4 linked regions of the Tamandua tetradactyla genome follow. The protein of the gene in region 1 interacts with the protein of each later gene in a pairwise test. Links are inferred from orthologs where the notes say so. Each region holds a gene or a part of one and is shown on either strand. Other genes may lie near its edges.

The links.
Region 2: the proteins of ATXN1 (region 1) and ESRP1 interact in binary tests that used the Homo sapiens proteins (3 or more experiments, as listed by UniProt). The link is inferred for Tamandua tetradactyla from reciprocal best matches to the Homo sapiens genes ATXN1 and ESRP1.
Region 3: the proteins of ATXN1 (region 1) and ZBTB32 interact in a two-hybrid assay, tested with the Homo sapiens proteins (2 studies listed by BioGRID and IntAct). The link is inferred for Tamandua tetradactyla from reciprocal best matches to the Homo sapiens genes ATXN1 and ZBTB32.
Region 4: the proteins of ATXN1 (region 1) and LASP1 interact in binary tests that used the Homo sapiens proteins (3 or more experiments, as listed by UniProt). The link is inferred for Tamandua tetradactyla from reciprocal best matches to the Homo sapiens genes ATXN1 and LASP1.

What each region holds. Positions count from the first base shown.
Region 1 is NC_135351.1:19,862,136-19,869,694, forward strand, and holds the start of ATXN1 (ataxin-1), read right to left. Parts: upstream 3,309-7,559; 5' UTR 3,099-3,308; intron 2,240-3,098; exon of another isoform or gene 1,926-2,239; intron 1,768-1,925; exon of another isoform or gene 1-1,767. UniProt on the Homo sapiens protein: Chromatin-binding factor that repress Notch signaling in the absence of Notch intracellular domain by acting as a CBF1 corepressor. Binds to the HEY promoter and might assist, along with NCOR2, RBPJ-mediated repression. Binds RNA in vitro.
Region 2 is NC_135332.1:138,183,888-138,192,214, forward strand, and holds the start of ESRP1 (epithelial splicing regulatory protein 1), read left to right. Parts: upstream 1-5,054; 5' UTR 5,055-5,312; coding exon 5,313-5,444; intron 5,445-5,953; coding exon 5,954-6,082; intron 6,083-7,301; coding exon 7,302-7,415; intron 7,416-8,327. UniProt on the Homo sapiens protein: mRNA splicing factor that regulates the formation of epithelial cell-specific isoforms. Specifically regulates the expression of FGFR2-IIIb, an epithelial cell-specific isoform of FGFR2.
Region 3 is NC_135342.1:30,268,277-30,275,613, reverse strand, and holds ZBTB32 (zinc finger and BTB domain-containing protein 32), read left to right. Parts: upstream 1-4,171; 5' UTR 4,172-4,183; coding exon 4,184-5,055; intron 5,056-5,328; coding exon 5,329-5,402; intron 5,403-5,501; coding exon 5,502-5,570; intron 5,571-5,691; coding exon 5,692-5,856; intron 5,857-6,027; coding exon 6,028-6,302; 3' UTR 6,303-6,564; downstream 6,565-7,337. UniProt on the Homo sapiens protein: DNA-binding protein that binds to the to a 5'-TGTACAGTGT-3' core sequence. May function as a transcriptional transactivator and transcriptional repressor. Probably exerts its repressor effect by preventing GATA3 from binding to DNA.
Region 4 is NC_135332.1:28,270,651-28,278,854, reverse strand, and holds the start of LASP1 (LIM and SH3 domain protein 1), read left to right. Parts: upstream 1-4,931; 5' UTR 4,932-5,128; coding exon 5,129-5,197; intron 5,198-5,659; exon of another isoform or gene 5,660-5,683; intron 5,684-8,204. UniProt on the Homo sapiens protein: Plays an important role in the regulation of dynamic actin-based, cytoskeletal activities.

The DNA of each region.
Region 1 (7,559 bases):
AAAGTTCTACAAGGTGACAGTGAGGCTATCGTTCCCTAATAAATTATTTCTGCTGAGTAAACCCTCTAGAAAGCCAGTCATGACCACTGGCAATTTAGGTTCTGAAGAATGGGCGCTCCTCACACTTGAAAGGCCAAAGGCCAAGGCCGAAGGCACTGGACTGCTAAAGAAATGTTGCTCTAGTAAGCTCAGAAAGGTTTCTAACAAGTACCAAATACTTGTTGATCTGTTAACAAACACCAGTAAGGCTGTCAGGCTCCTTTCACCATGCAGAGAGATATTCATTTACATACCGCACCGAGTAAGAACTGGTTCTTGGTCTCTTTCGTAAACTTGAGTAGCTAGAAACCTAATTCAGTATCTCTTGTCCAAATGACAGAGAATTGAAAGAGGGTGCAATTGAAATAGTGAAGTCTCTCGTCTGGCTCGGGCAGCACAAATACTGTGCAGAAAACACTTGGAGTAGTTCAGGCACTCCCACCTGAATGGACCAAGGAACACTGTCTGTTACCATGGCAGCCTGATCTAATTACATGACTGATCAGGGCTGGAGTAAGTGCACCGAAAACCTACACCACTGACATGTATCTACATGATGAGAAAGACAGGCAGCAGGAGGTTCAGGAGAGCCCTTCGACCTCTGCTTTATGTAGAAGAAGGTAGTAGGCAGGCCCATTTATTTACGGAGCTGCTAAAATATTGACTAACGCCTGCACGGTTAGAGGGCAATCAAAGGAGATTAAATGGCACAGCACAAGCGGTTATGGTGCAATCCCTTTCCAAGAGTTCCTGTGCAGGATTTTCTCCTTCTTCTCTCTGGTGGTTTCCTGGGGCAGAGCTTCCTTCCAAAGAAGCCCAAGTATCAAACTATCATTACCCACCAAATAAACCAGAGGGTGGGCTTAGCAGGGGCTTCTAGGAACTGCAGGACTCCTCAGAAACCCAAAAAGAAAAGGCTTAGCTAATATTTTTGAAAAAGTAACCAGCTGTGCCTAAAAATAGCCATCTAGTAACTACCCACTGCTGCGCGCGATACAGAATGATGATGTTTAAATATTAAGAGCAGCCTGCATTATAAAACACAAATGTCATTGAGATGTGACTACTAGATTGCTAAAGCAGAACTTATTTGCATACAACATTCCCGTGCCTTCACCATAGGATTTGCAGGGAGGATGCCACTGTAAGGCATTAGTTTTCTTTTCTTTCTTTTTTTTTTTTTTTCCTGCGGGTGTAATGGGGTCTTCTAATTTTGCTAATTGTATCCTGTGGATCTCAGAAGGAAGCTAAGAATCTCTTCGGGGAAAGAACCAGTTTGGAAGAGTCCCTACTGCACAGCATACGGTAAACAAAATAAAAATAGCTTGCCGTTCTTGTTAGCCACATCGCGCATTATATAACCCGCTTCCGACTGGCTTTTTTTTTTTCTTTGCCATTACTACTCTTCAGCAATTTCCCAATCTTCTCAAGTATTTATATTACCATCTTATGTGTAGGATTATATACCAAGAAAGCGAAACAAAACAGAGCAGCCACGGTTATGACCCGAACCCCATCGTCCGTAGAAACTGTGATTTTTTTTGTTTTGTTTTGTTTTCTGGCACAATCTCGATCACCACCCTACTTCCACCCCCCACTAAGGTTCTTGCTCAATCTCCCTAGAAAACCTGAATTGTTTCATCGCTTCCAGTCAACCTCCTACGTGGTCTGAAATAAAATGAAAGCACAAGCCACGGAGTTTAGGAAGGCGGCCTGGGGGCGGGGGGCTGAACGGGGGTCGGGGCGCTGCAGAGTCGGCCAAGTAGCCACCGAGGCGCCCCCTCCCCATCGGGCGACGGCCCTCCCCCCTCCCCCCAACGCGCGCGCGCGCACACACACACACACGCACTCACACACACTCACGCCCCGCTCCGACACCGCCTCACCTCTAGCTCTGCGCGTCCGGCCCTTTCCCTGCCCCCGGCGGGACCGGCCTGCACGCAGCGCTGGAAGCTCGTAGGAGGAGGCGGCTGCAGCCGCGGGAGTAGCAGAGTCCCCGGCCCGGGCCGGCCCAGAGTGAAAGAGCGGCGGGGCTCCAGGGCGCATCCCAATCCCCGCAGCGCCTCCTCCGCCGCCTCCTCCTCCTCCTCCTTCCCCTCCTCCTGGCTTCATTCACCCTCCCAGCAGCCGCGCAGCCGTTCACTCCCAGCGCAGGGCAGCGCCCGCCGCGGCTCCCCTGCTCCAGCCGCGGGCGCTCGCGGACTCCGGGCTCCGGGCGGCGGCGGCTGCACATGATCAGGAAGCGGCAGCACCAACAGGGCGGCGGCAGCCGGGGCCGCCACCGCCACTCCAGCGGCGCTCCGGGCACCCGCACCCTCGCTGCCACCCCACCCCCACCCCACCCCCCGCGGCCACCTCTCCACTCCCCCGGGCCACGCGCAAAGTCCGGGCCGGGCGGCCGGCGCAGCCCTCTCCCCCGGCCGCAGCCGCACCGCCTCCGAGGCCGGCCTGCGCGGGGAGACCCCCACCCCCGGGCGCCGAAGCCGGGCGGCCACCCTCGGGGAAGCCCGGCCTGTCCGCGACCCACTTGCTCTTGCAGCTCCCGCCGGGGCGGGTGAATGCGGAGGGGGCAGCGGGAGGAGAGGGCAGCGCGACCCCCGGCCGCCGCCGCCGCCGCTCCCTGCGCCCCTCCCCCGAGGGACGACATGGTTCTCCGCACTCGGAGCAGGGCTCCGCCGCCGTCCGCGCCCCCAGCCCGGCGCGCCCCCCTCGCCTCGCGAAAGCCCACCCTCACTCCCCCAGCCCCGGCCTGCCACCCTGCCTGCCGGGGGGGGGGATGTGAGCCCCCGCGAGGCTAGAGCCCAGGACGGTTGTATGTGCGCACACGCACACACACACACACACACACACACACACAACACATCACAACGCGTCTATTTCCTTCGCTCCTCTTCCAGCTGTTTTCCGTGCCGCCTTTTGGGGTTTGGGGTTTGTTTGCTGGTTGTTTCTTTTGCCCCCCTCGAGAGAGCGCGGGGGGTGGGGGGGCATCTAAATAAGGGGAGGGGGAGGGGGAGGGGGAAGAGAATGAGAGGAGGAAAAAAAAAAAAACAGCCACTTACTGTAAAGTGTAAATGGATCTGGGGTTGCGTGGGGAAGGGGGGGCAGAGGGAGAGAAACAATGTCTTGCGGCTGCTGTTGCTCTGGCTGCTGCTCCACAGGGCTTGTTTTGGATCCCCCTGCAGTGAAACAGGTCCTGTACGGCGCCGCCACTGTAGTAGAAATGATGTCTGCGGTATACTCTGCTCTCTCCTCCTCCTCGCGCTCCCCTCCCCGCCTCCTCCCTCCTCTGGCCCGCCCGCCCGCCCTCCCTCGCTAGCTCGCTCGCTCCAGTATGTAAATGTGTAATAGAAGCCAAATATGGAGCAGTTGGCTGCCGCCGCCGCAGCTCAAGGATCTCACTTCTTGTGGGGGGAGGAGGCTGGGGGGGGAGCTTTGGCCGGCGGCCCGGCGAGCCTCACCGATCACGGCGAGCGGCCGGCCCCGCGCCCTTAACCCTTCGGGGTCGGGCGGTCCTCAGGGAAGGCGGCTCCTTTCCGCCGCCACTTCCCATCCCGACAGAGTGGCTCCGTGGGGGAGACAAGGACCCGGGCCCGGTTCCTTCTAGGTTTGCGAAAGGGGCGGGGAGCGGAGGCGATGAGGTCATTTTAGCGGTGATCTGTGGGTCCCCGCGCGCCAACCCCGGTCCCTGCACCTTGCCGGGGAGGAGGTACGAACAGCGGGGTGCAACTCTGGCACGCTGGGAGACCCTCCTGGGGGGGGGGGGGGCGGGCGCCAGCTGAAGCCTGGCTCAGAGCCAGTGCGTAACCCGGGGAGGGGGAAAGGGGGAGAAGGGGGAGGGAAGGTCAGCTCCACTCTAACCCCGACGTGCCCTTGGTCCCCGGCGCTCCTTAGAAGCGACTGCGAGGGCTGATTCGGATCACCAGCTGCAGGTTAACCCCGAAACCGATTTAGAGCCGGCCGTTCCGGAACCCAGACCCTGGGGCCGCGGGGTTTGCTCGTCTTCGCAACTCAGGAAAGTTTTAAGGGTCTTCTCGACTCCACGTGCGCCTTCACCTTCACTGCGGGCGAAAGCTGGTGACCTCTGCGCCTTCCCTCCTTTCTCTTTCTGCAGGTCCGGAAATCTGCTTTAGATATTGAACTGCTCAGCTCCAGCCGGGAGTGACGACCCGCAAACTCCTCTCCGGCTAATTCGGGATCATTAATTTAATCGGAAATGAGGTAAGCAGTGTAGGAGATAGAAAAAGCCAACCGAGCATCAAATGACAGTTCTCGAGAATCCACGCCGAAGAACTTCCTCCGGACTCTATTTTTCAGTCGGATCCTCTAACTCTCCGCCGCCCTGCCTCCTCTGCGTGTACCGCCTGCGGTGTGAGCTCGGTGGGAAGCAACCTTCACTGGTGGGGTGCACCTCGCCCACAGGTGTGGCACCTGGGGAAAAGGCATCTCCGTGCCAAGGAAGCTCGGCCAGCGTTCTCCTTGCTGCAGATCATTCTGGAAGGCCAGTAGGTGTCAGAGTAGCATCTGACCTCCTTGAGATACTCTGAACCAAGCGTACAGAAGCACGACCTCTCCACGTAAGTTTGACCGTACTCCGTATTTGAAACGCCTCTGGCCGAATTTCCGTATGACTTAAGGCTTAGTCACCAACTGAAAGCAGGATACAGAATCACCGAGAGAAAAGCATTTAAGCAACACTATCGTAGAACCCGTGTGCTTCCCAAAGTAAAAAATAAATATACTAACTAGGAAGGTAGTGAGCCCCGAAATTTTTTTTTTTCACATTTTGAAACTCCGAGCACATATATGGGGCTATTTAAATAGAGATACTACTGTTCACTCTTACTCAATTCTACAACTTTTTTTTTTTCCATTTAAAAAAATCAATGATTGTTACAATTTAAACCTCTGGTTGGTCTAAAGTGACATTGTTGGTCTCATTACAGCCTCTAGTGGACAGTTAAAATCATTTTCCTGGAAAGGCTCTGCTTGGTTTTGTTTCTGTTGACAAGCTTTATCAAAGTGAAGGTTAATATCGGAGAACATAACCACATAATATCTCTTCCCTCACTTGGCAGAGCCGACTTCCGAATCAAGCCGGGGCTTGTTGGCTTTACCAGGACAAGATGTAGGCTTTGAGCTACAGGTATTACTGTTACTAGCCTGTGAAGAAGCACAGAGCTTCTGCCATTTCTTTCCGTTTCAGACAGCTTTCATAAAAACTAAATTTATCTAAAATATTTTTATAGCAGAAAATATTGGTTGCCATGTTTTTGGCTTAACTGAGATGTTTTTATTCCAACTCATCATCTGCAGACTGCCCAACCCACCTCCACTCTACTTTTAGACATCTTACATTTAGAGACTTTTCAATAAAAAAAGAGCAAATATTTTAATTATTACAGTGACAGAAGCAGTTAATTTATGCTGTTTTAACAGCCTTAAGCAAATTAAAACACATAATTCAGATTAGCGCTAGTCCATTAATTTAAATATTCCCTCAAGCAAGCTAAATATGTATACTCACCAAACAGTAAAAACAATAGGAAATGTGCCATTTACTTTTTTAGCCATTAAGATTAAAGCCATAAACTGTGACTAAAATCTGTAACTATTTCTCTCTGCAAGGTCCAACATAAACATAAATGCTCATGATACACTTTTGTTACCATTAGCCCTGAAATACTTTGTTCTCAGATGGCAAAATATTAAACACACAGCCACAAATAACAGGCACTGGTTCTTTAAAAACAAGATTTTCTCATGCAAAATAAAAACTCAGTGAAAGAAGAAGAGCAGGGCTTTCAAGCAGCCAGTAGGCAAATATATAGTCCTAGAGTCCTATTCATAAACCTCGTATTATATTCAGACAAGTGTAAGTCAACCTTTGAAATTAAAGGAAATTTAGAAATAAAGCCTGCTGAGACTCACTACCTAGCTTGTGCTCTGGATTGCTTAAATACCATGGATAAATAATTATAATCGCATCTATTTTATTGTTTTGGTAGTGTCTAATTCGGAAGGTTTAAAAAGGGCTATCAAGTGAATACTATATCATATAATTATATATTATATCCCTGCTTCTTTAAAGAGTAGTCCTTGGAGCAGCAGCAGCTGGGAGCTTTACAGACATTCAGAATCAAGGGTTCCACCCCAGCCCTTCTTGCACGCAAATCTGCATTTTAGCCAGACCCCCGGGGCGATTCCCAAGTACTTGTGAGGAACATTGGTTTATACTACAGGGCTCTAGCTAAATGAACTTGGCCACAGGTGCAGAACTTAATTCTTTTATCTGTTCCTTTCCACTCCCTCCTCTCCTTTTTGTGATTTTTGGTATTAAAAAAATTATTACATTATATGCTTTGAACGGATAGTACTCCATTTCAGAAGAGTCCTAATTTATGCACAAATCTGTATCATCATTGTCAAAAGAGAACACTATGCTAAGAAATGTACTGGGGTCTCAGACGTGAATGTTTTCCTTATGGCAGCAGAGGGAGCACGAGAGTGCTTAATAAAACAGTGTACAGGCCCCCAAAGCCTAGCAGATTCTACGTTGTAGTATACCTTTTTATTGGAAGTAGACTGTTATGTAGTATAAGACAAGATAAAACAAACAAACCAAAACAGCTTGCCAGGTTATAACAGCCAAATAATTGAACAGATCAGAACAGCCTTTGACAGCTTAATAGAATGTTGATATATTTATTTAGAGTTGTATAAAGTTTAAAAGAAAGTGGACCTCAGAAGTCATAAAATGTCTTAGTTTTTCTCTTGTCAAAAGTCAAGATCACATGATAACAAAACAAGGCAATTCTAAGCGTAAATCCTGTTACTCTAAAAACATTGGCGTTAAGTTAACCCAGTGCAATTAACCATGCATCAGAGAAATTCATTTCATTTGGAATCACACAAATTATATGAAGTATGTACATTTTTTTGCAATGCTTACAGTGACAGTAATTGTAGGGGTTCGTCCTTAAGCCTGGGAGTAGCAAGAATATACGTTCCAATTGTGTCTATGCAGCATTTTGATATTTTCCATAGCTCTTTGGTATCGTATCCTCAAAAGCTCCCAAAATGTAGGTAAGATCGATGGTGAAGCCCAGCCTCAAAAAAGTTGTAGAACCAACTCATGCTTTCATTATATGTCATTTAATTGTTAGAATAAACCTTCGAGGTATTCACAGATGAATGAAATCACAGAGATTAAGGATCCAGCCACATGGTCATTGTTTTTGTGTTTTTTTTGTTTGTTTGTTTTTGACAGTTTCAACAGTTTTTCAAAGTACTATGTAGTGATTACTGAAAAGACACTGTCTTAATTCTCAAATTACTTTTTATTTACTTATTTCCCCAGCAGTCATTTATTACGGACCTACAATGACTAGGCACTGACAAGACAAAGACAAATAAGACACAGTGTGCAGAGAGTTCACAGCAGAACAAATCTTATCTTTTGAAAAAGGTTAATATTTACCATGATAAAACAAAAAGATTCGGAGGATTCCTCAGTGATTGGC
Region 2 (8,327 bases), on another chromosome or scaffold:
AATTCTACCACTGAATTACCCTTGCATCCTCGAAAATTCACTCTTTATCAGCCAATAGATGGATAAATGGCAGACCATCAGGAAGCAGGACTCAGGACATAAGAGAAACAAACTACTTTTCCTTCTTGAAACCTTTCTTTAAACATCCATTCCTGTCAACCTTACCTTGCCTTAAAAGATAAGTCTAGTCGCTTAGCTTCGCTCTCTCTGGCCTGGATTTTGGGAGCAGGGATGTGTTTCTGGGCAAGGGACTGGGGGGGAAGCAATGGATATCTTGATGGCATAAGACTAGGGTTAAAAAGGTAGGAATTTCCTGAGTAACATCTTTTTTTCCCTGGATGTGCAGTTAAATGGGATCGGTTCTGTAAACCTAAAGAAGAAGGTGTATTTTATAAGCCACAATGCCCAGATTAATGGTGCATTTCCCTATGTGTATTTTTCTGTACATTTCCTTATGACACAGCTGTAAGTAAAGTCTTCTGTTTCAGCCTGCCAAATTAACATCAGACAGTTAAGGGCCTCTGTGATTGGTGTTTTAGGACCCTTTCCATTTGTGCATTTCTCTTTGAGTAGTAGTTTTCCTGGTTCTCAGATTTGTTTTCTTTATTTAGAAAGATTCTTTACACATTCCCTTTCCCCTTACAACCTATGAAGTATGCATCATTACTAGCTCCATTTTTATTTTTTTAACATGGGCAGGCAGCGAGAACCAAACCCTGGTCTCAGGCATGGCCGGTGAGAACTCTGCAACTGAGTCACTGTTGCCCGCCCACTAGCCCCATTTTTTAATAGTGAGTTTAATAGTGCAGAGGAGCAAATGGCGGGGCTGACTATTAAGTCCAGAGTTTTTCCAATCTGTAATAATTGCTATAATAAAGTTCAGACTGGTAATTTATTTACATGCATAACACAGAGAAAAATTCATAGAAAATTATCATTTATTTAGTTATCATAACCATCACTCCCCCCTACCTCTTCACTTCAGAGAGGGTGAACTTGTTCAGGGAGTATAAAATGTGGTCTATTTTACAACTGCACCTTTTAAAAATATATATATAACTGCATCTATAAGAATAAGAAATATCAATGGCTTGTGGTAGCCTCAGAACAGGGTTTTATTTTGATTTCTATTTTTTTAAAAATTGAAATATAATTAACATACCTTAATATTTATGCCTTGAAAGTATACAATTCAGCAGTTTTTAGTATATTCACAAGGTTGTACAACTCTCACCATTATTGTCTAAATTCAGTATATTTTCATACTTTGATTCACTTTTAAAGTCTCTTTTCTTAAAGATACAAGAGAATAACTGGTATGTGCAATTGAGAACTCCGAGAAAGTTCTAGAGAACTCAAATGAAACTGGAATCAGCAAAAGTGATGTTGTTACTGTAGCCTCAAAAAGGAAACTGCACTACAAATAATACGACATGTAGGTACCATTATGCCAGTGGTCATATTCCAGCAGACACATTCTTATTCGGTCCAGTTCAAGAGCTGGCCTCTAGAAATGATAGAGGAAAAGGATCAAGGGAAGGTAATGAAGATAATTAAAGGCAGTAAACTAAGATTCATCATGAAAGCTTTAAGGAGCTTGCAGTTACTTAGTCTAGGAAAGGTTATTTATTATACAGTAAATGATTGCTATACAGAAAATGGTGAACTTTCCCCCCCCTTCCTCCACTAAGGGAAAAACAAATGAAACAAAACAAAAAAAAAAAAAAAGGAAAGAAAACCCTATAGCATTAAGAATTAGGTTAGTATAGAAATATCAGAACCTTGTTAGACACAAGAATGGCAGAGGCAGCAAAAGTTCTTTGAAGTGTTTTTAAAAACTTTTATTTTTGAAATAATTTTGCAGTTATGCAAAGTTACAAAAATAGCATAAAGAAAAAAAAAAAACAGTATAAAGAAGTCTCTCACCCAGATTCCCCAATGTAACATTTTACCACATTTGCTTTATCACTTTCTCTGTATTTTGCCTAAAACTTGAGAGGGTAAGCTGCAGCCATAATACCCCTTCATCAATAAACACTGCAGCATCAAATTCCCATAAGCAGGAACTTCTAAGAAATCACAGTAAAATTACAAAAATTGGGAAATTAACACATACAATTATTTAACCTACAGACCTTATTCAAATTTTGCCAATTGCCCACTGCTTGTCATATATATTTATTTTCTGGTCCAGGATCTACGTTGCAGTTATTTGTCATACCTGTTAATCTCCTTTAATCTGGAACAGTTCTTCAGTTCTTCTGTCTTTTGTCTCAGATGGTATTTTTTCAAAGTCGATTCTTATTTGGGCAGTTTTAGGTGTGGTCTTGAGTGAAGACCATAGATAGAATGAAACTCCCTGCTAAGTGTTCCTACCACTTCATCATACCCATTCTTCTCACTATACTAGAATTAATAGATGGTGAGATAGTATTCAGAAATGATCCGATTACATCACAGATTTTTTTCTTAGCATTTCTGCATTTTACAGGTTGATTTTTTTTAACAAAAGTTTGCCCAAGAATTAACACCAACTCTTTTTAAACAACTGACCCAAATTACCTGCAGATTCCCATTCCCAGAATTTCACCTTTGCAGCTATGAACTATGCCCTCGACTCAGAAGACAAAGAGCTGGAAAGGTGGGTGGGTATTTCCCGTTAAAATCATTCAACAAATATTTGTTGAGTGCCTAGTATATTGCTAGATTCAGTTTCCAGCCCTGGAAGGACAGTAAGGAACCAAACAAAAAATCCCTATATTGTAAATCTAGTTGAACAAAACTAAAACTAAAATTAAAAAAAAAAAATCAGAAAGCGGGGATCTGGCTTCCTTAAACAGCAAGAGGGCAAGTCTCTATGAAAAGTGGGAGCTGAGATTCATGATTACAATCTGGATAATGCGGCGGAACCCCTGGCCAACGCATTAACAAAGTCCTCGGTTTATCAAACGCGCTGGACAAATGATTAATCTTAACACCTGGGTCGGGCTTCCTGAGTTGTTCTACCCACTTTCTCAGCAAAAGTCGCCGCAGACGTCAGGTTTCCTGGCCGCCGCCACACACACACACAGTCTCGCGCAGGAGCGGGGCTGTAGCTCCCAAGCTCTGGTCTGGCGGAGAGAACCGCGCACAGAGAAAGCCCTGGGGGTGGGGAGGAGGCTTCAGGGAACCGGCTCCTCCCGGAGGCCTCGCCCACTGCAATGCTATCTGGGTGGTTTTTCCAGGTCCCTCCCTGCCTCTTTCCGCGCCCAGTCCCTGCCCCCGCGGCGCCCGAGGGCCCGGGAGGGTGGCTCAAAGATGCTGAGGGTTGGGCAGGGCTAGGCTTCCGCAGCTAGTGAGCTGGAGGGACTGGAGGGACTGCGGGGAGTCCTTTCTGACTCTCAGATCCAGAGAGGGAAGCACGCGCTTCGGGGACACCAGCAGCAGACGAGGGTGCTACCGAGCGCCCTCACGGGCACTGGCAGCTGTTCAGCTCTGGGATCCCCGCCCCGGCGACTCCCGGTCCCCGCCCTCTCTCCGGGGACTCAAGCTCCTACCTGCGCCACCCGCCGCGCCCTTTCCTACCTGGAAACGCCGCTGCCCGCCCTTCGGGTTCCTCTCGCGTCTCAGGAGCCTCAACCCCCTCCCCACTTAGGCCCAGTCACCAGCTTCACCTGAAAAGCGTCCTGAAAGGTTACCCGATTTCTACCTAGGATGGATGCAGTGATAGGTGTGTGGATGCCCGATTGCACATCATAAATACGAAGGGCTGGGCACCTGGAGCGGAATTCATAATACCTCAGACGAAACTGTGTTCCCAAGAAGAGATCGATTGAAAATACCGAGTAAACTTCCCTTTATCGTCTTTTTCTTTAAAATGTCAACAGAACCCAGCACGAGGTAGTCACACTTGGCTTGATCTCTCTGGGGAAACGAAGCTGGGGTAGAACTGGGAGGTTGTTTGGGAACTTGGTCGGGGAACCGAGGAAAAAGCCTATTTTGGCCTAATTTAGGAAAACATTTATTAGGAACGCAGGGTAGACACATTTTATTTAGGGCCTGGGGCACACCAAAGGAAGTGGGCCCGTTCTGGAAGGCTCTCGAACTAGCAGTCACAACTAACCCAAACGGAGCAATTATCTGGGTAATTTAGAGAAAACGGAGTCCCTGAATTTCGTCACGGGGGTCGCCCTCCAGGTCTGGAGCGCCCGGAGTAGCTGCGTCTTTGGACGTGAGTTGGTGGCTGGGCGTCCAGTCTCCCGAGTCTGGCTCTGCCGCGCCCCCGAGGCTCTTCTCCGGAAAGTGAGAGACGCCCCGGGCTTAGGGGGACATAAGCCCCGGGGGTGGAGAGCGCACGGGGGTGGGGTGGGGCAGCTGCCAGCCAGTTTCGCCAGCTGTTAGCACTGGAAGGTGTGTTGGGCTTTGGAACGGCTTTTCCGATGCACTGCAATCGTCCCCGCCACCTCCCGGCTGCAGTTGGCCGGTCCCTCCCTTCTTCGCCAGCATGCCCTCCCGGGTCGCCGCGCCCAGGGCAGCTCCTCGCCCCAGGTCTCACCTCTGGCCTCCTTTCGCCTTCCGGCGCCTTGGCCTTTTCTCTTGACCCTTCAGCTCCGGCTTCGTTCCCTCTAGTCGGCCTTCCTCCGAGTAGCCTCCCCCGACCCACCTCTCCTTTGCTTCCAAAGGCCACCACCCTCCCCTCAGCGCCGTTTACCCCTCACCCCTTTCCCATCTGGCCTTCACAAACCTGTGGGTGGCTACCTCTAACTGCCCGCCCCTCCCGTCTCCCCCTCCTCCCCTCCCCTCTCCATTCATCCAGCCATTGTCTCCCGCCCCCTCTCCCCACCCCCACCCCCACCCCCACCGCGGGCGGCCTCCTCCCCCACCGCTGCCACGTCCTTGGTTTGAAGGAGCCAATAGGCCAGGGCCGCCAGGTGTCTGTCTCTTACCTGCACCACGTGGGGGAGGGGGAGGGGAGGAAGCGGGCAGGTAGAGCCACATCCCAAAACAGAAAAGCTTTCAGCCATTGCGCGCGCCTCTTGGAGGTGCAGCTCTTCTCCCAGCTTTTTGCATAGACGCACTGGCAACAGAATACAAAAAGGGCAGGCCTCCTGCGCCCGTCTTCCCACCCCCCTTCCTGCCCTGGGTGTGGAGCTCGGGCCAGGTGTGGGCTTGGGTGGTTGGTTACCGCCTTTTGCTCCGGCGGCGGCGAGGAGGGGGGGTGGGCGTTCTTTCTTTTTCTCTCAGAAGAGGCTCTAGCACAGGTTTTCCCGTTCTCACTTCCATCTCACCTCACCGCCTCCCGACCCCCCTTCTCCCCCTCCCCACCTATCGTCATGACGGCTTCTCCGGATTACTTGGTGGTGCTTTTTGGGATCACTGCTGGGGCCACTGGGGCCAAGCTGGGCTCGGATGAGAAGGAGCTGATCTTGCTGTTATGGAAAGTGGTGGATCTGGCTAACAAGAAGGTATTTCTGTACGTTTTTATCCAAAAGCAAGAAATGAGACAAGTTTTTGTAGAAGTTTTTTGGGGGGGTTGGGGGGCGGGAGTCGGTAAACAAGTGCTGTTTGCTCACTTGTGAGGCTGGACCCGAGGCCTAGGGAATCCAGAGTAAAACCAAACTTGTTGGCCAACCGCCTAAGAGCGGTTTCAAGTCCTCGGAAATCTGGCTCAGGTGCGGAGGCCCGCGCGCCGGGGGCAGGTTCTCTGCGGGTTGGAGGACCGGATCCCTGGGGTCTCCGTGCCCACTCCCAGGGCCTTTCCTACTTGATCCGGGTGGGGGTGGTGCGGAGGGGAGGGGGCAGGGACGCGCCGACTGTTCGGCCACCGGGCGGCTGGCGACAAGCGAGCTTTGAGTCTGAGGTCCGACGTCCTGGCGGCGCGGGCCGCCTCAGCAGGGAAGCGAGGGAGGAGGGTGAAGAAAGCGGCTTCCGAACTGAGGGAGGGGAAAACTGACCCCTGTTTCTCTCCCCGGAGGTGGGACAGTTGCACGAAGTACTAGTTAGACCGGATCAGTTGGAACTGACCGAGGATTGTAAAGAAGAAACCAAGATCGACGCCGAAAGCTTGTCCTCGGCGCCGCAGCTGGACCAAGCCCTTCGACAGGTGACAGCCTAGGGCCGCACAGTCCACCCCCACATCAGCCAGGTCCCGGGCGACCCCCCCGACTCGTCCGGTCCACGCGCGTACCCTGGGGCCAGGACGGGGTGGGGTGGGTGCGACACCCGGTGGCGTGGATGGGAGCGGGTCATCGAGGGCCGCCAAGTCTAAGCCCGGAGACCGGAGTGAGCGGTTTGGGCGGGGGTCGCTGCTCCTCTTCGCCTCCCGCCGCCAGGAACTTGCGAGGAAACTCGTTAGTTTTCGAGGCGCTTCCTGAGTCATTGTTGGGACCAAAGAGTCAGCAAAGTTTTACCAAGAGGCTACTGTAACGAGAGCGACAAACGGCCTTTGAATCCTAAGGCCCTCGTCCCTTGCCTATCCCCTGCCCGGATTTGGGTCTGCGGCTCAGCCTTGGGGCAGGGGGCGCTGTGGTGTAGACGTGCGGGCCGGCCCGGCTGCCCCAGCTTGGTCGCAACCTGGAGGAGTCTGCTTGCGCTCTGGATTTCAGGCTTCTCCACTCCCAAAGCCTCGCTTCCATTCCTCCTCACTACCCTTAGCTGCCTTGATTCTAGCACGGGGTAGGATTTGCAGGTCCGAACTTGTAGGTCTGCTCGTTGGGTCACTAGGGGAATACCCTTTTTGGAGCTGAGGTGACCTAAAAACTGGCTGTTTCAAGGATAGGGCGGGGCTCTAGACACCTGTGCACCGATAAGTGCTCGGCTCTGTTGCGGCCCCTATCCTACCTGGGGTGTATTTTAGGAAAGGGGTTACCATATTTTCTAGAGGTCTGTCTGTATACGCATCACCCACATTTGTTTATCAGGACTGACATCTTTCTTAAACCTGGTACATTCAAACATAAAGTAACACCAGGGAATGATGTAATCTGAAGGCAATCTGATGATGAAACGAGATCTCTGGCTTAAAGTTCTTGAATCGATTTACCGGAAAAATAGAAGGGTAAAACAGTCCGGGAGGATGCATTTACTAGCTTCTCCTACGTGAAAACTTCGGATTGTTTAGAAACAATCCGACCTACCTACCTGCCTAAAGGAAGCATTGCCGCGTTTGTAGGAATGGAGTCTTTTTTTCTAATATTGCCCCCAGCACCGGTGATCTCCATTCGCCCCTATAGTTAGCACGGGTATCACCAAATGGAGCCACTTTGTAGAGTTCGTAAATCCATGCATTAATTGCATCCGTTGTATATGTGTTTGTTTTCCAGTTTAACCAGTCAGTAAGCAACGAACTGAATATTGGGGTAGGAACTTCCTTCTGTCTTTGTACTGATGGGCAGCTTCATGTCAGGCAAATCCTGCACCCTGAGGCTTCCAAGAAGGTAAGAGAGCTGACTTCTAGAAAAAAAATGGACCGTTGGATGATTGGAGGTATTGTTTGTTTGGTTTGTTTGGTTTTGTGTATCTAGGTTTCTTTATTTTAAAAGATGTATGGCATTTTCATAGAGTGCCTGGAGTCGCAGTGATTTTAGATATCCTTTGGTGTCTTTAGTAAAATGTTTCTTCCCCCCTCTTTTTTTAAATCAAGTTTTTGAGATGCTTGACACTCCTTTTCCAAAGCTAATATGGTGTCTGATTTTTTTACATTTAAAAGAACTATCAGGAAGGAAACGACTATTTTAATACTTTGTAATATCCAGTGTTCCTGTTGAAAATGCTTTATCCCAGAAAAGAAGGCGAAAAAAGATACATTTAAACCTTTTAAGTTGCAATTCCAGTCATTCATTAAAAAAGCTTTGTATTGCTTGAATTAAGACTTAAGTGTAACTAGTGAAATGTTAATTATGGCATACTGCTGTTTGTCTGACTTTAAATGTCCAAACATTTACTCTTGTATCAAAATAATAAAGTCAGCCTCCTTTTTTACCTTTGCTACTTTTTCTGATATGGAAAGATTAAGGATTGAGAAAATAATTGTATTGTAGGTTAGAATGTGATTTGTCTCCCTGGGAAGAATAACCCTGGGCTGTGGGGAAATGAAGAGACTAGACAGCTGTCAGACCCAGTGTAGCCAATCATTGTTAATACAGTGCTCTTATCAACTTAAATTAGTTTAAGCTGTAACTTTTTATTGTGGCAGGCAGGTACTGAGCTTGAAAAGATGGATGTCACCTATTTTTATGTAACTCAGGCAAGTCTTGCAATAAAAGGCTTAGACTGAGAAACAATTGATGGTAGAGACCTGTGAACAACAGTCACTGCACATTTTCTCTTTTTACTCCCTCAAGTAGGGA
Region 3 (7,337 bases), on another chromosome or scaffold:
AGAAGAGTAAACATCTTGAAAATTCATGTAAAATTTGGTCTTAATCTGTATAAAATGTTGTAGAGGGTTTAGCCACCTTAATTTTCCTGAAAAGATGTATTCCTGGGAAGAGTGGCAAATTCACAGAATTTTTCAAAGCTGAATCTTGTTTAACTTGACCTGGAAATGGGAGAGAGCTCAATATTTAAAATAAGTGAAGGGTGAACAATTTTCATAAAACAAATCATTATCCCTGTAACAGACTTATTCTGATGGCTTCATTTCAATTATAAAGAGAATTATGTTTTGCATTGCTGTGCCAATTTTTTTTCATTTCTTTCTTTAATCATGGTAACATGTAGGTAAGTTAAAATTTTCCACTTTAACTATTTTTAAGTGCACAATTTTTATATCAAACTGGATTGTGCCTGAAGGGGGTTATGAGGCCAGGATCTCTGGGCAGTTTTTTATTTAGTTCCGCAGACATGGTGTGCAATAAGCCCCTCACACATTTTCCCCCCTTATTGTCCCTTTGGTCAAGCCTATTAGTGAGAATTTAAAATTATCAAATTTCAAACATCATTTAGTAATATGAGTATCGAAAGCACTGAGAGGCAGAAATCATACCTCCTTTTATCACATAACTCCTTTTCTTACCTTTCTACCCACTCTACCTTCTCTCAGGATGCAGGCTTATGCCCTCTTGGCCTGTGGTTTCCTGGCTCCACTCAAAGGGGATAATTATAGGCAATATCTGCTGAGGCAGCCTGCGAAGTAGAAAGTGGGCAGGGTTCCTGAGGTCGGGAGCAGAGATCTTTCAATAACAGTCAGCACTGTCTGTATCCTTTTAAGTCAAGGAGCTATTTGTTTCTGTTGTCACTGCTCAGTGCTGGATGGCTTGGGCTGCGCTGTCAGCAATGTTGGGAGAGACTAGAGAAGGGCCTAGAGCATCATTGATTCTAAGGGTCGAGGTACAGAGAGCTCTAGAGATACCTCAGAGGAGCTGTCTCTAAGGGGATATCCTTAGGTAGGGTAGACACCAAGCGAGAGGCAAGATGGGGTTTCCCATTCTTGGGGACTTTTGCTCCCTAAATGGGGAGTCCCCTTGCCCCTTCTCCATTTTAGGCTCCCTTAAAGTCCATGATACTCTTGTCAAGACCCACATTTGGCTTACAGAGGTCGCTGCCCTCTGAACAGTCTCCAGATCTCTTGATCATTAAGAGATGATCCACACTGGTGACAGGAGCTGAGTTGCAGGCATGCAATATAGCGATGGGAGGTGAGGGGAACCATAATCTACTGGGTGATGATGTGCTCTCCCAGACCCCTAACCTTTTCCTTGACACTCGGGCATCCTTCTCATGGCTTTCCTAATTTATTTCATATCTTTAAGGATCATGTGTTTCTGTGTTGGAAGAAGGATTCTCTCCATGTACATTCAAATCAGGGATTGATTATCCCTTTGTGTGTCCGGGCTATGTGTCTTTTATGTGGGTGTTTGATGAGTCCCTAGGTGTGGTGATGTGAAGAGTTAGAAAGCTCAGAAATGGAAAATATTTAACGTTCAGAGTAGTAGTAGATGAATACAAGTTGCCCATTTGCATTTTTCCTTTCACTTTGACTCATCTTCCCCTCTCTGCACCCCATTGCCCCTCCACCAGCCCCACCCATTGGCACACCCTGTATGATCTAGGATGTGTTAACACCTACCTGCACCCAAACTTGGATGAGAGTTAGAGGGAAGGCATGTTAGGCATAGAAGGAGAGAACAGCAGGTTAACCTGAACATTTTAGGGTCTGGGAGCCCAAGGGAGAATAGGAACTTAGAGACACAAAATTTGAGTCTTGCAGAGGACCGGGATCTCAATGGGAGGCCAAGGAGCCAGACTGTCTTTTTTGTCAGCAAGGCAGCCTACCAGTGCCTGACATTCTTGTTTAACTTTCAGTTATTTTGTGAACATATATGATATGCCAGGTATACACTGTAAATTATTTATCAACATTTGTTGAATGAAAATTTTACTACTGGAGCAGGAATAGAATAAAAAGAAACAGAAAAACAAATGTGAGTCTCTCAGACCTCATCCCTTCCCCAGATTAAAGAGTACTAACGTGTGAAAAGAGCGGAAATCTCTGGGGACTTTGACCATTGGGCAGGAAGTGAAAGAAACCCTGAGACCTGATTTCAGAGAAATGTCATTTGTCATCAGCCCAAGAAAGTGAATTTTTCTTTTCAAAGACCACCACAGACCTTTCCTGGGGTTGCCCCCTCCAGAGTATGATGGGAGGATTTGAGTTACTCACATACCTTATTCTGATGGCCCAGAGTACAGGGGTCTTTCCCAAAGAGCAAGTGATACCTCTTAGTACCAAGTCAGGGAAAGGGAGGAGGCATGCCTTTGGCCCTTCTTCTCCTTCTCCTTGGAATGCAGATGTTTCAGTCTTTTTTACTTCTGAAGTAGAAGCAGAAACAGCTTCCAACTACTATGACTCTACTATCCCCTCTAAGAAACAGAACTAATACTATTTGAATGATGTTATGAACTTAGAAACCATTTTCACATACATCATGTCATTTCATCTTCACCCCATCTTCAAATGAGGTAAGAGAGAGTATACCTATTTCATGGATGAGGTAACTGAGGCTGAGAAAGAAGACTTGCCCAAGGTGATTTGACCAGTAAATGGTAGAGATGTGATTCAAGTGCAGGCCAGATTATCCAAAAGTCCCTGTTGCCCCAGATACATTTCTTTGACCCTAGGAGTTCACAAATGAAATAAGGAGACAGGTCAAGGGGCAAAATGTCTAGGTTCTGCAAATAGAAGAGGTAACTCTTCTTGGAGAAGTGAAGCAGAGTCAGGGGTATAAAAGCCACACCCCTTTGGGGGACTGTGGCTGACTGTTATTTGGGGCATCCAATGGAGGACTCTGAGGTCAGGGGCGGAGCTAGTTCCATCAGGCCCCCAGGAGTCCAAACAGTGTTCAGAGCATGCGGTGTCCAGGGAGGAAGCTACAACCGGTGAGTGGTTGCTTCTCCCCAGCTGAGGCTTTCCTCCCAATATATCCACCACCACCCCCAACTCCCTGGCAACCTGCAACCCTCAACCTAAATTGTCCAAGTAGTAGTTCTCCCTCCCACAAGGGTCCTTGTTCATGGTGAGCCCACCCCTCAGAATATGGCTGCTGGGAACCTGCACCTTGTTTTAGATTATTTCCCTTTGTAACTGGGTTCCCAGTTTTCTTCTTGAAAGCCAGTGTGGTGGATCTGATGTATGGTAAACTCCTGCCCTGCTGGGTTCTTTCAATTCTCTATTTTTCACTCATGAAAAACAAAATTAAACCATCTCCCTAACCTAATCTTGAGAGAAAATAGCCTCCTCCTCTATAGTTCCCATTTCCCTTTCTTCCACTTCCTCAGGAGTCAAAGCCTTCTCCAAAACCTCGCCATCCTTGGATTAGGAACCTTCTCTTCTGTGGTTTTTGTACCACCTACTCTCTTAATTCACTGGACAGTAATCTTTGGTCTCTTCCAGTTCCTTCTCTGAGGATGCATTCTAGAAGCTTCAGCCTCAGGGGAATGCCTGAGCCTGCTCTCCTGCAGCCATGACCCCTTTCTTGCTGCTCTCCATCTCTCAGGAGACTGAGCTCCACTTGATGGGCTCATGGGGGGGGGGGGGGGGTGGTAGGACAGAGTTTAGGTAGCTTTCTAAACTCTGCCCGTGAAGCTGTGTCTTGTGCCATCCCTAAATGCCAGGGCTGGCTGAGTTTGGTGGTGCTCTCTTTGTCTGGAATGAGGAAAGTCTGGCCTGCTCAAAGGTCTTGCTCTTCAGAGGGGCTTAAAGAAGTGGAAATATCAGAGTCTGCTATTTTTTAAGTCAAATTGCAAACTGGTAGTTCCCACCTATATTAAACTCACTACTTGGTGGTGTTTTTGTTAACTACCTGGTCCTTGCTTTTTAAGTCTTGAATTTGGTCTGATTTCCATCCCTATGCCCCATCCCTGTTATGATTCTGGATAAACTTAGCTCTCTCTTGGGCTAGTTTATTTGCCCCATTTCAGATCATAGAGCTGATCCTGGACTCTTTCTCCCCTCACCTTCACAGGCTTAAGAATATGCCGTTCCTCCCTCCCCTTTCCACCAAGGACCCTACACTGTGACCTTCCTCTCAGAACCTCTGAGATTGGTACCCAGATAAGGCACAATGCCCCTGAGCCCCACAAGACTGCTCAGTCCTTACAACTCTGACCGGCTGGTACAGCTGGCAGCCAGGCTCTGGCCAGCACTATGTGATGCCCTAATCACTGTGGGTAGTCAGGAGTTCCCTGCCCACAGCCTGGTGCTAGCAGGTGTGAGCCAGCAGCTGGGCCGCAGGGGCCAGTGGTCTCTGGTGGAAGGCATTAGCCCTTCCACCTTTGCCCAGCTTCTGCAGTTTGTTTATGGGGAGAGTGTAGAGCTTCAGCCTGGGGAGCTAGGGCCCCTTGAGGAGGCAGCCAGGACTTTGGGAGTACAGGCTCTGGAAGAGGCATGCAGCAGGGCTCAAAAGGACAGGGCTAAAGAGGAGTGGGATCCAGGGCCGAAGAAACACCAGGAGGAGTCAGAGGAACCTTTAAAGGATTTTGAGAGAGGACTGGGAGGCTTTAGAGAGAAGCAGAGACCAGAGAAGTTTTTCAGAGCTGGTGGGAAAGAACAAGAGATGTTGCATGAGTCCAAGCCACCAAGAGAGAGCCCCAACATAGCAGGGGCAATATGGGAGGGACAGGGGGTACAGATGAAATCAAAGGAGGAGAAACTCAACCAATCCCTGGTTGGTCAAGGGGGGAGAGATGGGAAGCCAGAAGTGGTCATGTGGGTGAGAGAGAGTCAAGGGGACTCTGAGGCAAGTCTTCGGGGACTAACAAGTCCCCTCCAAGCCAGCATCATCCCCAGGCCCTGGTGGGCTGAGGGCCCCTGCTTGGGGAAGGATCAGCCTGCCCTGTGGAGCATCCTGCTATGGCCGTCCAGATATGGCACTCCCTTCTCTCATAGCACCCCCTTCAATGGAGCCTGGCAGGAGGTCTGGCCTTGGAACCAGAGGTAAGTGAAAGGCCTAGTGTAAGACCTCCCAGGCTGGGAGGGAATGGCCCAGTAGTGGTGATGGGCGCAAGGGCACCATATCTCTTTATTTCTACTGTACATTTCCTAAGCTGGGGATAGTACAGGAAGCTCCCACCACAGGGGAAGCCAGAGCCCAGCCCCTGAAGAAGACTTAGGACACACCTCCCCAGACAAGGACAGGTTTGGTTAGGCCCCTATGCTTTGCCAAAGCTGTAACTCTGCCCCCCGCCCTGCCCCCGGCACCCTCCTCAGGACCCCACTGTCCCTGAACCCCCACAAAGGACTCTGGAGCCAGAACCTGTTGGCTTCTTCCAGCTCCACCCCAGGTAAGCTCCTTGCTGCCCTATAATGTGATCCTTCCTCTGGGGCAGGGGCTCCAGGAGTCCAGCCTGAGTAGGGCCCCTACTTCATTCTGTTCCCTCCAGGTTCCTTCCCCCAGTATCCCACACAGCTCAACCCTGGGGAGATGGAAGCGTCTGATCAGGGGGACACAGGTGAGTAGGGTGAAGGTGCTTTTGCTTTCCCACTGTGGCCCTAATATCTTGCCTGGGTGTTTCAGTGACCCGGTTCTGGGATGCCTATCCTTGCCCTCCTTTGACTCTTCTGTGCCCACAGGCCCTCTAGAAACCCACATGGGTCAGGACAGGAGAGCAGGCTACTCATCTCACCAACACTCTCCCCCAACCCCTCCTGCTCGGGAAAGGCCCTATTCTTGTTCTGTCTGTGGAAAGAGGTTTTCACTCAAGCATCAGATGGAGACGCACTACCGAGTCCATACAGGTATGGGCTCCTGCCCAGTGTCTTCCCAACTCCAGTCTGTGCGCTCCTGCATCCCTCTTTGCGTGCCCAGCTCGCGTGCACCCACTGGCTGGCCCCATCGCCTGATGTACCCCTAGCTCAGCAGGCTTTGCCTTCTTTCCTTCACTTGGCCTCCCCTTCTGTCCGCCCTAGGCGAGAAACCCTTCTCTTGTGGCCTCTGTCCCCAGCGCTCCCGGGACTTCTCGGCCATGACCAAGCACCTGCGTACGCACGGGGCTGCGCCCTACCGCTGCCCTCTGTGCCGGGCGGGCTGCCCCCGCCTGGCCTCGATGCAGGCACACATGCGCGGCCACTCGCCCAGCCAGCTCCCGCCGGGATGGACCATTCGCTCCACCTACCTCTACTCCTCCTCTAGGCCGTCCCGGGCCTCGACTTCTTCCTGTAGCCCCCCTCCCTCCACCACCTGAAGGGACTGTAGGGAGCTTCTTTGGCCGACGGCCGCCCGCCGCCTGACCCGGCTACTAGCAAATTCGGCTCCATACGCGCAGCAGAAAAGGTGAGGAGAGCCTTCCCAAGGACGACCGTGGGCCGCAGAAGCCTGGGCCGGCAAGTCCGAGTGGGATGAGGGCAGTTAAGTTTGCATGAGTGAAGATCAACTGTACGGGGCCTGATGACCGCATCATCATAATAAAGAGTTTCCTGTGCTCTCCACTCAGGACAAAAAGTCGAGTCCAAACTAATCTGTGCGCCGGGTCTCACGGGTCTTGAAACTTGTCCTATAGCGGCCCCTGGTGGCCATGCGCCCACTATCCCGCCCGGGAGCCAGCCGCTACCTCCAACTCTCGAGACACTCCGTTCTCCCCTGGAAGCAGCGGGTGTCGAGAGCTCGGTGTCAGAGCTGACATCGCAGCAGGTACTGAGCGGTTTGTGAGACACCAAATCACTCGCCCCTTTTACAGCAAGCAAGCCACAGAATTAGCGTGCAGCGCCTGTTTAGGCGCGCCCGGCCCGAGGCTCCAGCCGAACGCGGGCTCCGCCCTGCTTTTGGCCAGCCGACTTCTTTCCCTCAGCCTCTCCCCTCCGCGCTGTACCGACCGGCCTCCGCGGTCACTCCAGGAACTGAAACTAACCCTTTGCCCCTGCCCCTTCCCAAGCCCACGCCTCCCGGTGACGCGAACTCCATTTCCCAGAGTCTCCGAGGTCCCTAGGGCCGAAGTCTGCTGTGCCTTGGGAATAGTAGTCCACACGAGCCGCTTATCTAGACAAGGGCAAGGGAAGGAATCCCGGGTGGAACCACATCTCCCAGCAAGCCCGGAGATGACTTTCGGTGCCCTGCTCGGGACGCCGTAGTTCCAGCTCTCGCGGCGGAAGGAGCGAGGCGTCTGGACTGCATTTCCCGAGGGGCTCCGCGCCTCGCACCTCTCCGGCGGCGACGCGCGGTCTGTGTTCCTCAGGCACGGGCTGAAGAGGACTACCGATCCGCTGCGGACTCCCACTCCCGT
Region 4 (8,204 bases), on another chromosome or scaffold:
TCATTTTTGTCATGGGTAGGCTCCAGGAATCAGACCCAGGTCTCTGGCATGGCAGGTGAGAATTCTGCCACTGAGCAACTGTTGCAGGCTTCCTCAGTGTTTTTTATGTCAGGAAATCACATCACCATCCATGCAGATGGTGAAGAAAAAAGAAGACTTGTTCTTGACATGCAGAATCTGGATGCCTCCGTTTCTTTTCATCTTTGCTCTTCCCAGTTGTGGAAGGCTAAATTATGCCCCCCACCCCCAGGATGTCCATCCTAATCCCTGGAATTTGCGACTATGTTACCTTGCACAGTAAAAGGGACTGAGCTGATGAGATCAAGTTAAGGATCTAGAGATGGGAAGAGTATCCTGGATTATCCTAGTGGACTCAATGTAATCATGAGTCCTTATGAGAGAGAAGCAGGAGGGTCAGAGTCAAAGAATGAGAAGTATAGATGGAAGCAGAGGTTAGAGGGAAAAAAGATACTATGCGGTTGGCTTTGAAGATGGAGGAAGAGGCCACCAGCCAAGGAATGAGGGTGGCCTCTAGAAGGTGGAAAAGGCAAGGAAACTCTCTTTCCTCCTACAGCTTCCACAAGAACACAGGCTGGATAACACCTTGATTTTAGCTCACTGAAAGTGATTTCAGAATTCTGACTTCTGGAACAGAATGAAAATAAATTTGTGGTGTTTTAAGCAATTAAATTTGAGGTAATTTGTTACAGCAGTAAAAGGAAACTAATTATGCCAATGTAATCTAAGACATCACCCCAGCTCTCTCCTGAGTTATTGCAACAGATTCCTAACTAGTCTCTTTGTGCTCACTCTTTTTGCATAGGTATATATGTGTCCATTCTCAACTTTCTAACAAATCTCCCCAACCTGCCTGGTGATAATTTAAAATCCCTCTGCTTAAAACTCATTTGATAAAATCAAAACTCCTTACCTTAGTCTTCAAGCTTCTCCACAGCCCTGACAACTTCTCCAGCTCCCATTAATCGCTCTCCCCTTGCCCACTTCCCTCCAGCTCCTCTGGCCTTAAGCCTTTGCAGTAGCCATTCCCTTTGCTTGGAATAAACGTCCCCTTGGATGGTAGTCTCTGTCATGTCATTCAGGTCATAACTCCAATGTGACCCGCTCAGAAAGTCCTTCCATGGCTACCCAACCTGAAATGGACTTCCAGTACTCCCTAACTTGTGTTTTATTTTTTGGCTTTTAAAAAGGGATCTTATTAAGTTGCAAGTTTACAGTTCTAAGGCCATGAAAATGTCCAAATTAAGGCAACCAAAGATACCTAACTCCAAAGAAAGGGCCGATGAAGTTCGGCTGGGAAGACACATGTTGATGTCTTCCTCTCATTTCATAAGGCTTCCCTGGGCATTTTCCTTGTGGCTCTCTTGGCTCTAATGCATCTTCCAAAAAATCACTTGTGTTTTATTTTAATTTTTTTCCTATCACCACTGGGTATTTCCTTGTTTATTTGTTTGTTCCTCCATTTCTAGTCTGTCCCTCTCACTAGACTGTAAACTCAGTGACAGCAAGAGCCTTTGCATCTTTCTATGGAAAGTATCTCCAGCACCAAGAGAGGGATTGGCATAAGTGAGCATTCACCACCCCCCTTCCCCCCCCAAAAGACAGGGGGACTACTAGAGAGTTTGGTCAGGGAAGGCCTCACTGGGGACATCTTTCAGTTGGTGTTTATATTCTTTTTTGGCAAGAGCAGGGGAAAAGATTCCATATCCAGTTTTGCAAGGGGCTGTTTTCTGACTTATTAGGGGAGAAAGATGAGTAAGATTTTTGATAACCCCACTCATTTTTAGAAAAGGCAGATTAATGTAAACAGATGGTTTAATGGGAACTCTGAAATTGATGAAAAAGAAACCTACCACATTTAAGCCAGCAGGGGGGGTATAGCTCAGTGGTAGAGCATTTGACTGCAGATCAAGAGGTCCCCGGTTCAAATCCGGGTGCCCCCTCGCGGAGTAAGTTTTTCACTGCCTTTCAGGGACTAAGCTACCCAAATAAGAATAATGTGATAGATAATAGTTAGCAGGTTCCAACATCAAAGCTCTCAATAAATTACTCTCATTTAATTTGAGATGTAGGTTCAGTTTTCCCTTCAGATGTTCCCACAGAAAGAGAAATAGAGAGCCATAACTCAGATATGCCAGGAGCATCACTTTAATGCTTCCCCGACTCTTGTGCGCACTCTGCTCTCAGTTCTACACTTGAGTTATGGCGCCCAGCTATTCCTACCTTGGAACACCCAGATCAGTTGGATACTACATGGTTCCACATGGTTTAATGTTAATTGTAATCGATTCTTGGATAAAAATGGCATGGCGTGGTGGGGCAGGTTGAGAGAGAGATCAATATTATTTTGCTTCGTTGGTATACTGACCCAAAAGACTAGAACAAAACCAGATTCTGAAAATTTACACACCAAGTTTAACAAAACAGGGAACAGATACAAGAAAGAAAAAGGCAAAATGTTTTCCTTCCTTTTATTAGTTGAAAGGCAAGGTTTTTGCTGGATAAATTGTAGGTCGTATTATTTGAGGCCTGAAGTTAGGGGAAAGGGTTGAAAATTTTGGCTATTTCTTGGGTCTGATCTTTGTAGGCGACAGCTCTGCTCTTTTCACGTCCAGCTCAGCCCGGCCGTTCACAGCCCCGGGAACCGTGGAAAAAGAATGTATTCGAGTATTCCCCCGCGAGCCAGAGGGATGACACAACCAGATTCCAGATTTAAAATATCGCAGCTGCCCCCTAACCCATGCAGCATGCTTCTTCCTTTCTCCCTAATTTTTCCTTTTTTGGGGCAAAATCCAGCCGCGCAGGACGCTCTTGCTTCTCCCTTGGCATTTTTCATTTTCCTCCGGCCCAACAGTGATATGGTTGCTCATTGAACCAGGCGATATCTGTCTCCATGTTTAGGATTTGAAACTCGGTGGCCTTTTAGTAGTATTAGTTCTCAAACTGTGGTTCCCCGAGCAGCTGCAGCAGCATCACCTGGGAACGTGTCAGAGATGCACATTCTCCGGGCCCTATCCAGGCCTAGGGAGTCAGAAACAAACAGGGTGTGTTTTAAGAAGCCCTCCAGGTGATTCCGATGCACGCTCATGTTTGAAAATCACTGTACTAGATTATATCAGACTGCATCGGAATATAACTTCATTTTTGTAATTTAAAATGGGTTTATGGATTTGCACGGGCCGTTTTAATGTTCTCGAAGTGCTTTCACTCTTTCATAAGGTGACCACAGTACGTCCAAGTCCCCGGCGAAAAAGGAAGCTGAAGTTGGAGAAGGTTTGTCTGTGGATTTCCGTTCTGACCCCCCCACCCCCACCCCCGGCATCCCCATAGGGAACAGAACGCTCATCTGGGGTATCGTCCAATTGAACCCGGCACCTTGAACTGCCCGCCACAGCTGCCCGCGGAAACCCCGCAGCCCCTCGCGCGGAGAATGGCGACCTACAGCTATTGTACCTGAGTTGTGCGTGTACCCACCCCCTCCTCCTCCTCCTTTCGCTGGGCTCAAAACAAAACCGAAAACTTTCTGCTAAGGTTGGAAAATGCGGAAGGGACTTTTTTCGTTTTTCTGTTATCCTAGGACCCTATGTTTAAATATGAATCAGGAAGGAATTAATGGTTCGCTCGCGGGTTTCGACACACACACACACACACACACACACACACACAAAGAAAAGGAAAGTATAAAACATAAGTGTCCTGGCGGCTGTGGCGCGCCGGGTCGCGGGCGCAACTTGAGCGCGAGGCTGTGAGAGGGCGCAGCGCGCCAACGTCCACGACAGACGCTGACGGACGAGTGTCTTCCTCTGGGTGAGCCACCTCGCGGTGGCCGTGTGCAGCCGCTTCGACCACATCCCAGCGCCCACCTCCCTTTCTGGAGACACTTCCGTCACACCGCGCATAGGCCTGGCCCAGCGCTCAAGCCAGAAAGACCAACAAACTGGTGTTTGTCAGCTACAACCTTCCAAAACAGACGCAGCTCCGCATTGCTTATGGGAAACAGGATCAAGGAAGAAATGAAGGCCTTTCAGGAAAAGGTCTAGCTGAGTGGCGGAAATAAGCGTTTGTAACTTATGTACGATATGATTTTAAAGAAATTTATTGCATTTCTTACACACATACAACAAGAATGAAAAAGAAAGCCACAGTGGTGATAAAACGTGAAAGATCCTACCGAGGGGGCACCCGGATTTGAACCGGGGACCTCTTGATCTGCAGTCAAATGCTCTACCACTGAGCTATACCCCCTCGCCAGCGCCGGGCCTGGCAATGGATTTTTTGAATGCTAAGACACTGTTGCAGCTGTTACATTAGGAAAAGAGAGTGGGAATAAGGAGAAAGGAATGAAGGAGTAGAGGAAGCGAAGCTGGAAGCACAGGGTGCCCGGATCCGGGGAACCCCGAGGAAAGGTGCATGGCAGAGCGCCGGGAGGAAAGAACCAGCCGGGCCGCGAGGCGCGGATTCCTCGAGCGAGGAACGGGTTCTGCCCCACAAATGTGGGAAAGGATGTATAGTGGGAGGGGACCTGAGAGGATTCCCGCAGGTTCACCCCAGAGACAAACGGGTACACAGGGAAGTCCCGAATAACGCCTCCCTAGTGACTCTAGCCGGGCGTTCAGGAGCGTTCCAACCCCACCCGACCCCCCACAGCCTGGGCGTCCCAGATGCGCTCCCAGACCCGCTCTGCGCTGCCTCCAGCGCGGGAAGGGCCCTGGGCAACACCGACTGCCCGCATCTGGCGGTCGGACGCGTCTCCCCAAGGCTCAGTCCACCTGGGCGCGCCGAGGTGCTGGAGGCCCTCTAGACGCACCTACCGCCCGCCCCGCAGCCCTCCCCGGAACCCGCCCCGGCGCAGCCCCACGTTGCCCGGGGAGCGCGCCTCGCCGCGCGCGTTCCTGCCCGCGCCCGCGGCGCGTCCCCGCCCCGGTGCAGCCCCTCCTCCCCGCGGTGTTTATTAGGGGAAGGAGGGCGGAGGCGGAGGCCAGTTCCCCAGCTCCAGCCGCCGCCGCCGCTGCCTGCCTAGTCGCAGCCGCGGTAGCCTCCCGCCAGCCAGTCCCCGGGAAAGAGAACGCGCGCGAGCTCAGGCGTCCCCGCCCCTGCCTTTCCTGGAGCCATGAACCCCAACTGCGCCCGGTGCGGCAAGATCGTGTACCCCACGGAGAAGGTGAACTGTCTGGATAAGGTGAGGCTCGGGACCGGGACCCGGACCTGCGTCTTTGCAATTCCTCGAGTAGTGATCCGGGTTGGGGGAGGAGAGAGGGGCCGGGTCTCAGCCTTCACATCCCTGCGATCCCGGGAGGAGGGAAGGAGGGCGGTGTCATATGGTGGGGGCAGTCCCCAGTCTGGAATCCAGGGGATCCAGAACGAGGCTCCGAGTCCACGCGTGGGCAGCCACTATGGAGAAGAGTGGGCTCTGTGCCCCGGGGCTGGGAGGACGGGAAAGGAGCCGGGAAGCCAGGCCGGGGGAGGAGGGTTAGATTAGGGGTGCAGTCCCGCCCCCTAGGGCCGAGAGAGCTAGAGGAGACGGCCGCTCCCTCTCACAGCCCAGCCGAGCGCCAAGTAGGCGGAAGCGCCGGGCGCTGGGGGAGGGGGCGGCGGGGGGGGCGGGGCAGAGGCTGGGGGGCCCAGAGAAACCGTCCCTTCAGGCCGCGGATGGCCACGCTTCCTGGTCAGGAGACTGGGGGGGCGGGGGCCATCAGCCGGGGAGTGTTGCATTTGGTGAAGAGGGCTTCGGATAAGATCCCCGCCCCACCGCGGGACCCCCTTTTTGACCGACCTGTAGCCCCCTTGGTGGTTCAGTGGTTAATGGTATGACTGACCTCCACCCTTAGCTTCCCAACCTCCACTTCAAATTTAAAGCCAGTTCCCAGTGCTGGGCAGCCCAGCTTGAGTAGGGTGGGGTCGGGTGCTGGAGTGGGATGGGTGGGGGGTGCTTCGCAGAGAGCTCCTGAAATTGCGCTCAGAGCTGGATACCGGCTTGTAGAACAAAGACCTAACTTTTCAAAGCAGGTTTCCCTGATGGAGGGTGGGGTTGGCTGAATTCAGAGGAAGACGAGGAAAGGGGGAAGTGTTTTGGGGGAGGGGAGGGTGGCCTTCTGGAAATTCACTGTCCCCTTGAGGCCCTTAAGTGTGCCCCCACCCCCTAAGCTGGACTCGTTCATCTGGTTGTCATTATATTTTGGTGGTGGTGGTGGTGGTGTGTGTGTGTGCATGGAGGGGGGGTGGCGTTGCAGAGAGTAGAACTGGGTGTTTGCAGCACAGTTTTGGGGTAAGATCCAGATCACTTGGAAGCTCCCTAAGGTCCTAAGCCAAACCTGCTCCTCCTCAGCATCCCTCCCCAGAAGAGTCCCTGGGATTTTATCCCTCTTCCCATGGTGTCTTCTCATCCACCTCCCAAAGCTGGTTCCAAATCCAAATATTCTCTCCTTTCTTTCAGAACTGACAGGGGATGGGGTATGGGATGGAAGAGGGCTGCAAAGCCCTTAAGCCAAGTTCATTGCTGATCTGGAGGGGGTTTTGTTTGGGAAAGGATAGCTCATTGGATACTTTGTCTCTCCCCTCCCCCCTTGGGGTTGCAGCTTCCTCAATGAACTTTAGCCTCTGAGTCAGGGTGAGGGGGTGGGGTTCCAAGGTTCTGAAATATGTTCATACATACTTTTAGGGGAAGGGACCATTTGCGTTGTTGCCGTTTCACTGTCCCTCCTAAGTTTGGCTAGGAGGAAAGGAAGGGCGGGAGGGGAGGAAGGGACATATTGTGGGCAGGAGGGGAAGGTGCTAACCTTCCCAGTGACCATTTCAGCTTTTGGAGGGCAGGAATTGACTTGGAGGCACTAGAACTAGAAGAAGTCCCTCCTCCAGAACTTATCTGTCCTTGCCTACTAGGGTTTTTGCCCTTCTCTTGTGGTAAGGATTTTGGCCTCTGCATCCTGAGTTCCCTATGACCCTCTTTCTCCCCAGTACTGAATTGGAAACAGACTGTGGGGACTTTCTTTCACCCATATAAGGCAGAAGCAATACATAATGGAGGAATAGCTAGGCTGGGAGTTGGGAGATTTGGACCAAATTCTAGGTCTGAATCTTCCAGCTTTATGAGTGGTTCTGTGCCTCAGTTTTCATCATCTGTCAGATGGGTATGAGGATGTTATTTCTGTGGAGGGGGCAGGTGCCTATCAGAGTGCCTGGAGGGGGATGTGGTGTAGGCTTTGCCCTCCCTATCTTTCTGGGATCCCCTGGCAAGTCCTGTCCCCAGCTCTCCTTGTAAAGACCGTCTGAGCTGTGCATCCTTGGCTGGGGTGGGCAGTGGGGAGAGAGGAGCAGGGATCCTTCATGGTGCCTTCCCCAGCTGTTTTCTGGCCCTGGGCAGAAGAAGACTTTAAGGTAGGGGTTGCCTTAAGAAATGGGAGTTGGTGATACCTGTCTCTTTTTAGAGCATTCCCTATAGGTTTGGCAAAGGGGAGCCTTCCCCACCCTGCCCTGAACAGGAGCCCTGGAATATCCAGGTATCAGACCAATTCCTCCCAGCCTCCTCCAGGCAGTAAGGCTAGGGCCTGGACTGGGAAACAGTACCTGGTGGATGCTGGGCTAAGACCTGGGAGGGTGGAACGTTTAGGCCCATAGGCACTGTTGTTAACCAGTTTTTCCGGGTTTTGCATTTACAACAGGAGAGAGTCAAATTAGACTCTTTCCCTACAGCACTTAGCCCACAACGTGGCCAAAGCATACGCTCATTCTTTAGATGTTAGCCTTTTTTCCTCCCTGAGATTTATCTCCCAAGACATGGGTAGGTAGAGGCCATTCACCTCTGTGTGGCCACCCTGTCCCAATCCTGCAGTACCCTGTGTGCTCAGCACCCTGGATAAATATGTGTTGCTGGTGACAGTGTTTGAGGAAGGAGGTTGAATTTGCTTCCCTAGAGGACTTCTGGGATTTGGGTTGAAGGCAAAGCAGGATGACCTTAGTTGCTCATTCATTCAACAAATATTTATTGAGCACCTACTTTGTGCCAGACAGTCTGAAGGGCTTGCCGCAGGGTGTTTGGGGAGGAAGAGAGAGGCCTTGTCTTTTTATATTTTTATTTTTCCTGTCTGCCATGTGTCCTTTACATTTTGAGAGAGGTAGAAAGTTCTGTCTCAGGCCTTGTTGGGAAGCTTTTGTATCTGGAATCTGCTTTGTCAAAAATCTTGCTCTGT